Callithrix jacchus: one gene and its partners. The main gene of each other region encodes a partner of the protein of the gene in region 3 in a complex. Links are inferred from orthologs where the notes say so. Each region holds a gene or a part of one and is shown on either strand. Other genes may lie near its edges. The genes, in order: ATF2, SH3BP5 and MAPK10.

What was found.
Region 1: the proteins of MAPK10 (region 3) and ATF2 are in contact, whole or in part, in a crystal structure (PDB 4H36), measured with the Homo sapiens proteins. The link is inferred for Callithrix jacchus from reciprocal best matches to the Homo sapiens genes MAPK10 and ATF2. Residues at the interface, in NP_620448.1 of Homo sapiens: Asp150, Ala151, Gln155, Met159, Glu164, Arg165, Tyr168, Val197, Lys198, Ser199, Asp200, Cys201, Trp362, Glu367; in NP_001243019.1 of Homo sapiens: Lys48, His49, Met51, Thr52, Leu53, Lys54, Phe55.
Region 2: the proteins of MAPK10 (region 3) and SH3BP5 are in contact, whole or in part, in a crystal structure (PDB 4H3B), measured with the Homo sapiens proteins. The link is inferred for Callithrix jacchus from reciprocal best matches to the Homo sapiens genes MAPK10 and SH3BP5. Residues at the interface, in NP_620448.1 of Homo sapiens: Lys121, Asp150, Ala151, Gln155, Val156, Met159, Leu161, Glu164, Arg165, Tyr168, Tyr171, Val197, Lys198, Ser199, Asp200, Cys201, Trp362, Asp364, Glu367; in NP_004835.2 of Homo sapiens: Val341, Val342, Arg343, Pro344, Gly345, Ser346, Leu347, Asp348, Leu349, Pro350.

What each region holds. Positions count from the first base shown.
Region 1 is NC_133507.1:54,331,729-54,335,460, forward strand, and holds part of ATF2 (cyclic AMP-dependent transcription factor ATF-2), read left to right. Parts: coding exon 1-46; intron 47-3,099; coding exon 3,100-3,278; intron 3,279-3,732. UniProt on the Homo sapiens protein: Transcriptional activator which regulates the transcription of various genes, including those involved in anti-apoptosis, cell growth, and DNA damage response.
Region 2 is NC_133518.1:54,069,867-54,072,443, forward strand, and holds the end of SH3BP5 (SH3 domain-binding protein 5), read right to left. Parts: intron 2,186-2,577; coding exon 1,968-2,185; 3' UTR 723-1,967; downstream 1-722. UniProt on the Homo sapiens protein: Functions as a guanine nucleotide exchange factor (GEF) with specificity for RAB11A and RAB25. Inhibits the auto- and transphosphorylation activity of BTK. Plays a negative regulatory role in BTK-related cytoplasmic signaling in B-cells.
Region 3 is NC_133504.1:110,986,312-110,990,538, reverse strand, and holds the start of MAPK10 (mitogen-activated protein kinase 10), read right to left. Parts: upstream 2,801-4,227; 5' UTR 2,673-2,800; intron 1-2,672. UniProt on the Homo sapiens protein: Serine/threonine-protein kinase involved in various processes such as neuronal proliferation, differentiation, migration and programmed cell death.

The DNA of each region.
Region 1 (3,732 bases), on a different chromosome or scaffold from region 3:
GGATAGTCCTTTACCTCATCCAGAGTCTACTACCAGTGATGAGAAGGTTAGAAATTTGTGGAAATACAAACTAAGGGGGAAGAACAGTACCCAAATAAAGTTTACTATTTAATCTTCATAAAATGTTAATGTATTAAATTTTACTTCATTCATTGTCAGCTTGCAATAGTTTTATATGTGAAAACCTGTCAATACTCAGGTATTTTGGGATAAGAAGACTGCAGTTTTATTGTACACAGAAAAATTATAGGGATATTAGTCATATTAGATAAAACTTATTTTTTAAAAAGATATGTAAATTTATAAATTTAACTTGATTTTTCTGGGTTTTGCTACTTTAGCTACTTTTATACAGTAACAGCTTAATTAAGAATCTATTAAAAAAATCAGTTGAACAATGGTTTTTTTAGACTTTTACAGAATTAAGGGGCTACTTACTCATTCTCAGCAATGGACCTTTGCTACAGCAATTGGGATGATGATGATAATAGCTTGAATACCCAGATAATCTGGACCAGTTGTGTGTTGAATAATGTTATTATGGGAACTTCTGGATCACTTTTTTGTTCACAAGCACATAGAATAAATACATATTTACTTGGGGGTACCATGCAGGACACAGCAAAGAAGCAGTGGGCCACGTAAAGAGGCAGTGGAAATATTCTTTTTTAGATTATTGTTCTAAAACCATAACTTATTAATGGACTTCTGTTATGGCAGAGGAGCTAGAAAGAAGAAAATACAGAAAAAACATCTTTTTGCCTAAGAATAAATGCTTTGTTTTCTGGGTTTTTTTCCATTTTCTTTTTCTGATTTTAAAAGTACATTCTCATTATTCTTCTCTAACAATACAGAAAAATGAAAAGAAAACAAAAATCACTTATTAGCACACAATTGAATAAGAATTACTGTCTTGAAACATTTTTCTAGATATATGCATTTATACTTACAAATATATAAGTGAATAGTTAAATAGGATGGATGGATACAAAGGTCCTAGCTTCATTTTATATTGTGCTTTAGACACTCAGCATTAATGATTATTTTCCCATGTCCTTAGAAATTTCCCCAAATCATAATTTTTAATGGTTGTACTTTATTTTATCATTATATGATATGTATTACGTTATCCTGGTTTTTTTAGACATAAAGATTGTTTCCACATTATCACAGTTATTAGAAATGCTTTTTAAATCTCTGATATAAATCTTTTCTCCTAGATAGTATTTCGTTCTTTTCACACTTAAGAGCTTTCCATTGTTCATGGCTGCTTCAGCGTCTTTTAGGAGTATTCCTTCTTTCTGCATTCCCCAGTCATTAGGCCCTCCTTGAGCAAGGTATACCATATGAAATTGTTAAAAAAAAAAAAAAAAATCTGAGGCTCTTCTTCTTTTTTGATTTTCTTCCTAGGTGATCTCATCCAGATCCATAATTTTAATAAACATCTACATACTGATGACTCCCAAATTTCTGTGGACTTAGGTATCTTACCAGATTGCCATATTTATATCCAACTCCATTTTGACGTTATCTTTTCTATGTCTAATAGACCTCTTAAACTTAATAGATCAGAATCAGAGTCCTTGATTCTTTCCCCAGTTTTCCCCATCTCAGTAAATTTTCTCTATCCTTTTAGTTGTTCTAGCTAAGAATTTAGGGATCATTCTTAATTTCTTCTTTTCTTTTACACTGAAACTAACAGCATGTTTTATCAGACCTGAATCTCATCCTCTATGGCTGTATTCAGTGATACCACTTAAGCCCAAATCATCATCATTTGTTTGGATTATTAACAGTTACTCTCTAACTGGTCTTCCTGTTCTACATCCAGTCCATTTTCTGTAAGATTACTTTTAATATATTAAACATGTCATCTGCTTAAAATCTTTGAATGGTTTGCCATTGTGTTTAAGATAATTCACGCTCCTTGGCATAAACCCTCTTTTATCTGGGCCTGTCTTCCCGTCTATCCACACCTCATGCCTGTCTGTTTTGTTCAACAAATATTCTAAGCTTTTTCCCACCTCAGGATATGACATATGGTATTGCTTCCTCCTCCCTAGAATGAAATGCTCTCTTCCTTATCCTTTATTAGTTCAAATGCTGTTTTTGCAAAGAAGTAACTGCCTCTTCCTCTCCCCAAGCTAATCTTTCTTTATTATATTGCATGTATTATTCTGTAACACTTAACATTTATTGCAATCTGAAATTTTCTTGTGTATTTTACTTGTTTATTGTCTCTTCTCACTAGTCCTTGAGAGCATAAGTTTTCAACGTATTGAATAAATAAAGTTACAATAGTACTAGTTTATCCTTCTTCCTATGTAGCTTAATAAGATTTTGGTAAGTGGCAGCTACAGGCCAAATCAAAGAACACAATAGACCCAATTTTTACATTGACTATTTAAGGAATTCTGGGTAAAATCTTTTTAATCTTTTTGTTCTCTAATCTATAAAATTAGAGGAAATACTATATTTAAGGTCTTGGCTGACTAAGAAATTCTGTTTTCCTAACTTGAAAGAGATTAGTAATTATTTATTTTACATTCAAGATATCAGTATTACCTGGCCTTTTGATATTGGGAAATTATTGATATAGAAGAGGTAGCTACCTGAAATTAACAAATATTTGTATTGCTCTAAAAATTCTTAAGTATTACTGTTAATTTGTATCAACCGTAACAGTCCATTGGACCTATTTCCTCTTCATACGGTATAATGAGGGAGGAGGACTAAACAGTCCCTTCTGGATTTTAAGTTCTGTGATTCTCTGAGAATAAATTATATTTTTATTTTTTATTAAAATTCTAATGGATTCATAGCCAAGTTGCCCAATCTAACTTATTTCTGGATTGACAGGAAAACAAGTTGTACTAAAACAAACAAAACAGTCTTTTAAAATTAAAATGTTAATTGAACATTGCATTTGAATCTTTACAGCTCTTCAATGTTCTTTGAATTTTAATTTTAGATATTTGCTTTTAGTAATTATTATTCTGTAGATGCTTTTAGAAGTATGTTATATTCTGTTCATACTTGATTTGGTACATGAATTGATTTGTATTTTTTAATGCCACCCTTTATTTCATTGTTAAATAGGAAGTACCATTGGCACAAACTGCACAGCCCACATCAGCTATTGTTCGTCCAGCATCATTACAGGTTCCCAATGTGCTGCTAACAAGTTCTGACTCAAGTGTCATTATTCAGCAGGCAGTACCTTCACCAACCTCAAGTACTGTAATCACCCAGGCACCATCCTCTAACAGGCCAATTGTGTAAGTGATTCAGACCAATCATTGAACATATATATGAATTAAGTTTGTTTAGTTATGATTTCTTCCTAGGACATTTGATTATTCAAATTAAGATTTTAGTTTTGTGTGTGTGTATGTGTGTGTGTGTGTGCATCAGTTTTTGGAAAAAGTACTTGTATAGTCTTCTTTGGTATAAATGTTAACTAACAGAATGGAAGATAAATACAACTGAAATAGAGAATGTGAATTTAAGATAGTTTTATTTTCATGCTATTTCACACAAAATATAAAATTACTCGGTCACCAGATGACATTTCTTTCAGTTCTTACTGGTAGCTCCCAAGATCTCTCTGATGAGAATTTGTCTCATTTTACAAATTGGACATTGTCCTAAGTAAATCCATAACTTTTCTCTTCTTTTTTTAATACTGCTATATGGGTTATACATTTAAGATACAATTAAAATAATTAAATT
Region 2 (2,577 bases), on a different chromosome or scaffold from region 3:
GTTTCACTGTGTTGCTGAGGCTGGTCTTGAACTCCTGGGCTCAAGTGATCCACTGGCCTCAGCCTCCCAAAGTACTGGGATTACAGGCTTGAGCCACCTCGCCCGGCTGGCTGTTTAATGTTCTTAAATAGCACAAGAGACTTCTATGAACTTTCCTAAATGAAATATTTAGTAGGTAAAACATCTGTAAATATTTCTGAAACTTAAACCTCGATTGGCCAATGAAGGACCTTTTTCTCCACAGCATGTTTTAATAATGAAATGCAGATTAAGAGTCCACCATTATAACATTTCCACAAGACAAAGGATCCACCTGATTCTCAACTCTGAATGCACATTTGAAATCCCCTTGGGGAGCTTTTAAAAGTCTGATGCACAAGTGTACCCCCAGTTAATTAACTCTGGGGAAGAGACCTGACAGCAACACTTAAGCTTCCTAGGAGACTGCAGTGTGCAGCTGAGGCTGAGGACCATTCCTCCAGCATCACCACATCATCTTTATTTATCTGTCACTGTGTCTCCTCATTGCCCATAGCTTTAGCAGCAGCAGAAGTAGAACTCAAACCTTGGTAATCAAGGCTTAAATTACTACTGTTCTTCAAAACCTTAATTGAAAATGATTACTGGTGACCACAGCACTCCATGTTCTTCCTTATGGCAAGAGGGTGGCATAGAAGATTTAGACAATACTGGGAGTTCTTATTTGAAGTCACAGAGGAAACTTTTCTCAAGCGGTTTTTATTACACTCAATGTATTAAGACAAGTACAAAATAACCTTGTAATTAGGATACTGTATCAGTCAAAAAAGGAGGAGTCACTGTTGTATGAAGAGATTTACAAATGACTAAAATATACAGGCTGTGACAGAATTAACAATTTGAAAGAGGGTTTTTTTAGAAATGCTAAATTTTCTTAACAAAACGAGACAAAAATACAGTGCTCTAAATATGCATTACCATGAAAACATTAAAGAAAAGCAGTCTTAACACTTACTACTATTAACATAACAGACTCTGTTGCTTCTATTTAACAGCCTTTGCCAACACATGCCCACTCCCTTTCCTAGCTTTAAAGAAGTTTCCTCTAAGGAATACTAGTGCAGCATAACCCTTAAATAATTTCGTTTATTTTTAAAGTTACAACCTACAGATAAATTAACACCTTGTCAATCTAATAACAGTGGCAACCATTCTTCACATGCACTTCTCTTAGAATAAATCCCCTTAGCCGGCAGAATAAGGTTTATGCTGTAGAACCTTCTCCCCCACAGCCACAGATTCCCTTCTATGATAAGTCCCTCCTACCCTCATGCCCCCCCCATCCCCACTGGCATTCACCTTCCCCATCCCAAAAAGTGCAGCTCTTGGTAGCCTTTCTAGAAATGGTTTTAATGGGTATCTTAGCATACACGCTTTTTAAAAAGCCCCCTCTGAACACCAGAGGTGATGAAAATGAGTTGTGTTCTTGGATTTTTTTAAGCCTCCACCGGGTCAAAAATATGTGCTCTCAATACTTGAGTTTTTGCTTTGTATGTGGGTTTTCCTTATCATTTAGCTATCATGGGGTAAAAGTGGAGTGAAATCTCCATTTTCCCATTCAAAATTGAGGGTGAGAAGAGAAAGAGAAGCAAGCTGTTGGCCCCACTTTGGCTTAGCTTCCCAGCCATCTTCCCAGCTCTGGTTCTTTCATAGGAACTAGTTATTGCTTCCACAGTGCCATTACAAGGAATGTTCCACAAAGGCTGTGAACCTGGTCACAGTCTGCCTGCGACAACTCTGCTCTGAAAAACAAACCAGCTCAGGACTCTTACCCAGAACCATCTTCAGCCCTCAAGGTCACTGAAACTTCATTAGTGCAGTTTAGAGTAGACGCGTAAGATTTGGCATATATTAAATGATTATTGGCACAATGTTCTCCAGTTCCATGTATAAATGTTGATACGCACATGGGCAGGGCCCAGGATGAATCAGCCAATCTGCACCATTTTTATGTCAGCAATAATCCCATCTCTTCCTTTTGAGCGCTGTAGGGAGAGCTGCTTCATCCGGTTCTCCAAGGCCTGGCCCTCAGGGGAGGTGCTGCTGTGGCTCTTACTGCTGCCACCACCGCCACTGCTATTGCTGAGGCCCTGGTTGTTGTTGGCTTTGTCACTTGTTTTATTTTCTGCCCCTTCTGCCCTGTCTCCTATAGAAATACAAAGATTATCAAAAGTGAGTCTTGACAATTTTAAGTCACTTTGGGCTCAAACCAACTAGCTAACTCAGCCCTGTGGAATTCCCAGTGTTGCCTTCTGTGCCTATCCGGGAGGTTCTGAGTATGTAATCACTTACTGCTTTTATTCCTTGTGATGTTCTATATATTCCTTGACTTTAGAGATGAAATTTGCCATATTCACTTTATAGCTGAGAAACAAACCTTTCTACTATGTGCTTGCCAAGGAGACTGTTCTGATGTGAGACACAGGACCTAAGCCCTACTTTATAGAAGCTGAGTGGAGCCAGGAGCCTCCCCAGAACAGCACTTGGAAATAACCTCAGTGATCAACACTGACAGCACAACCAGAGACCAGGTAATGC
Region 3 (4,227 bases):
TTAAAGTAAGTCTTTTAACTTTTGTTTATATTTTACATAATTTATTTATTTATTTTTTAAATACAGATGGGATCTTGCTATATTGCCCAGGTTGATCTTGATCTTGAATTCCAGGGCTCAAACAATTCTCCTGCCTCAGCCTCCTGAGGTGCTCGGATTACAGGCATAAACCACCATGCCCAGCCAGTTTTATAAATTTCTTTTAGCATTTAGTTTTAGCTACTTAAGTTTTTGTGGCTACTGTAAGCAGGATTTTTATATTATATTTTCAAATGGTTATGATAATACATGAGAAAGTTCTTAATTTTTGTATGTTAATTTTTTAAAGTATTATTGTTATTTTTGAGACAGGGTCTCACTCTGTTTTAGTGTCTTGGTATGATCGTGGCTCACATCAGCCTAAACCTCCTGGCTCTCAAACAATCCTCCCACCTCAGCCTTTAGAGTAATGGGACTACAGGTGCATCCCACGACGTTTGGCTAATTTTTTTATTGTTTACAAAGAAAGGGTTTCACCATGTTGCCCAGACTGGTATTGAACTCCTGGGCTGAAGTGATCTGTCCACTTCAGCCCCCAAAATGTTGGAATTACAGGCATAAGCCACTGTGCCCCACCCCTCATATGTTAATTTTATAACTAGTTATCTTAATTTATCTTTTATTGCTTCTAAAAGTTTTTCAGTTGATTCTTTGGAGTTTTAATATTATTTGCAAACAAATGACAATTCTGAGTTATTTATAGTTAATTTCTTAATTTCTATTTCATATCTAATTGCATTGGCTATCATTTCTATTGTTCCCGTGTGATAGTGAGTGTTCTTGTCTTGTACTTGACTTCAGTAGAAATAATTACAATGCTATGTTATAAAGGAAGTTGCTGCTTTTAGTATAACATGTATATATAATATATATTTAAATTATTCTGAATTCTAATTTGTATTGGGAATGATACTGATTTTACAGAATCCTTCTCAGCATCAGTTGAGATACTTATAATGTTTTCTTCCTTTGACTTATTAATATAATCAGGCATATGAAAAAACTTTCTATTATTGAACAATTGCCATACTATATACATGAAGCAATTTCTCTTAATTTTGGCATATAATTTGTAACATAGTTCTGGGTTCCATGTTACTATTTTGATTTTTACATTATATCTCAAGGGAATTTAACCTATATATTTCCCTTTTGTGTGCTTTTTATCAGGTTGTATTTGAAAACCAGCCTTTCAGCTTATCCAAAACAGAGGGATTACTGATGAAAATGCCTTGAGGGCAACCACCTGAAATGGCCTTAATGCAAAAAAAAAAAAAAAAAAAGAAAGAAAGAAAGAAAAGAAAAGAAGAAAAAAGCTAGTAACACCGTGGTTCGTAGGTTTGCCTACCTCAGCAGAAATTTACAACACTATACTTGCTATACCTCCTTTCTGATGTAAATTCACAAGCTATTACAGCCATTAATTAAGGATATTGCTCTTCTTTCCAATAAATACATAAACTTTCTTTCAGAGGCAAACAGAAACAGATGTTCCGTGAAAGTTTTTGTTCTTCCTAATCTACCTTTCCCACCTCCCTGATAGAGGAACCAGAACAATTAAAAATGGGGGGAGAATAAGGACTCCAATCATTCACTTCTGTCTCCAGGCCAGGGAGCCTGGCCTGTTATTTACTTTCACCACTCAACCCTGCTGCTGCTCTCCAGTTTTTGCTGTTTTCCTCAGCTGACTTTCCTCATCTTTGCTGCATTCATCAAAGTCCAGTGTAAATTCCCCTCTTCCATAAACTGAGGAATCCAGCCCATTTTACATAGTGGACTTTCTCTTATCTGCTACCTGCTCAAAGGTTGGCTGTTCATTTTAGCTATCATTGTTCTCAAATTCTTTCAAGAGTGCTAGTCCTGGTTAGCTCTTTGAGGGCAGGGACTTATCTTAAAATTCTGCTGTGCATTTTCCGCTGTGTTTAGCCCTGTGAGTAATCACATTCAATACATACTTGCAAGGCATATTTGACTGAAGATATCTATCACAATTATTCATTTAGTAAACGAGATAATGAAAATTCAAGTGCTCACCAAAGATAAATCATTACTATTAATTTCCTCATTCATCATACATGTATGGCAGCCTCAGGGGCTAGGGAACCTAGGATTGCAGCTTTGACTTTCTTGGGGAAGCTAAACAAGCCTCCGTTCTCTCCACTTTGGAACCAGTATGAAATTCAGATTTACCTAGGGCTCAACATTAAGGTTCTCAGACTAAATTTACCTCAGGTCCCTTTTCCAGAGTGGACCAGTTTACCTTATACCTCTGAGAATAAACCAAAACTTTCAAAACTCACAGGATACTATTTGCTCATGAATTCAGCAAGACTCTCTTATTAACTACTGGAACTCAAATCTTTCAGCTTGCAGAAAGAAGGGGTCTAGCTGCCTGGATATACCTTGGCCAAGTTTCAGTGTATATAGAAAAATGGGAAGTTATCGACTATGTTAAACCTTTTCCTTAAATTTTCAAACTTCGGGATTATTTTAGTCTTATAGAGAAAATAACAAGGCAAATGTTTACAAACTTTTTTTTCAAAAACATGAGAATTCAAGTTTTCTCTAGGGCCTTTAGCGTTGTGCTGTCACCACACCTTTGAAGATCGCTTTACAATCCTGGGAAAACTCACCGGGCTTCTTTTCGTTGACTCCGCCATTTCTAAGTTGCTATACTGCTGCAAGGAGCTGGCAAAGCCGTGCTCTTCCTCTCCCCCCTTCTCCTCATCCTTTCAAAAGCCAAAGCGCCCGGTGAGAATATAGAAACAAGGCTGCGAGGCAGGGAAGAGTAAGGGAGGAGCCAGCACTTATGCACTTTTCACTGTCCCCTTCACTCCCCGGGTCATAAAGTTCTGTTTCTGAAGTTAGAAGTGTGGGGACCATCGGCTGCATTTTCAACTTGGCCTACAAGTTGGAGTTCACACTGCAGGCGCTAGAACTTTGCCGCTCAGTCACCAACCTGAGCTTCTGGCTAGTCCGAAGAACGCTAAAAGCCAGGCCCAAGGCACCGGTTGTCATAGCAACCGGGGCGCTGGTCTCCCCGGCGACCTCGTCCGTAGGGAGGAGGCGGAGCTGGAGGCCAGGCGGACCAATGAGATCGAGGGGAGCTCGGGGTCGGAGATCTGCGGCCCTCCCAGAGCCGGGGAAGGGTTGAGTGACAGGACCGGGGGGCGGAGCCGGCACGGCTGCCGGAGGTGGAGTCGTAGAGATGCCAGTAGCTTCGGCGGCCGAGCCGAGGAGAGGGTGACAGACTGTGCTCATGGCCCCCAGAGACCGTGGTGCTGGCGAGCCGCGCTCTGTAGCTTCCCGGTCCTCCTCGGCAGCGCTCTGAGTCGCCTGCAGGAGTTGAGCCGCCCGCACCAGAAGGTTTTGGCGAAGCTCTTCGAGGGGCGTCGAGCACAGTAGGGCGGCGGGGTGCGTCGAGCGCTCAGGGGTCAGGCAGTCGGCAGGGATCGCGGCTGGAGGGGCGTTTCCGAGGCGAGGAGGAGGAGGAGATGCTGCTCCTCTTCTCCCCCTCCCCAGGCTCCTTCTCCAGCTCCTTCAGCCCACGCCCGCAGCCGCTTGGGGGAGAAGAGGTGGTGGCTCTCGGCGCCCGCGGCGGCTGCCGGCGGCCCGCCCCGACGCCGCGTCCCCGCAGCCCTCGCCCGGCGCTCCAGTAGCAGGACCCGGTCTCGGGACCAGCGGGTAAGGACTAGAGCCGCCCTGGGCTCTGCGCTGCATGTTGCAGAAGTGCAAAACAAAGTACACCGCGCTCGCTCTCTTCCTCCTCTCTCTGCTTTTGCTCCAGTTCCTAAACCCAGCTCCTCTGTTGCCCTGGTAGAAGTAACTTTTCTTTGGTTGTGGTGGTGGGTGTTTTTGAACGTTAGAGTGGGGGTGGGGTGACTGGAGTGGGGAAGAATGAGATGAAACTCATGGCGAATTAGGTAGATCCATCTCCTCCGCGGAAGAAAGCCGGATTCTCCGGAATGAAACCCACAGGGGGAGTAAGAGATTGTGGGGTAATAGGGAGTGACATTGCCCCATCGTGCTTGCACAGCTCCGTTCTGTGCGTGCTTAAAGGAAGGGCTCCCGGAGTCTGTTTCTAATTTCTGCAAATGATTGTGGAGATGGTGTGGTTAGAGGCCGCCCAGAAGAATGTGTATGTGTAAGGGCTTGAGAAGGGGGTGGGATGGCGGGGAAGCTGAGGAA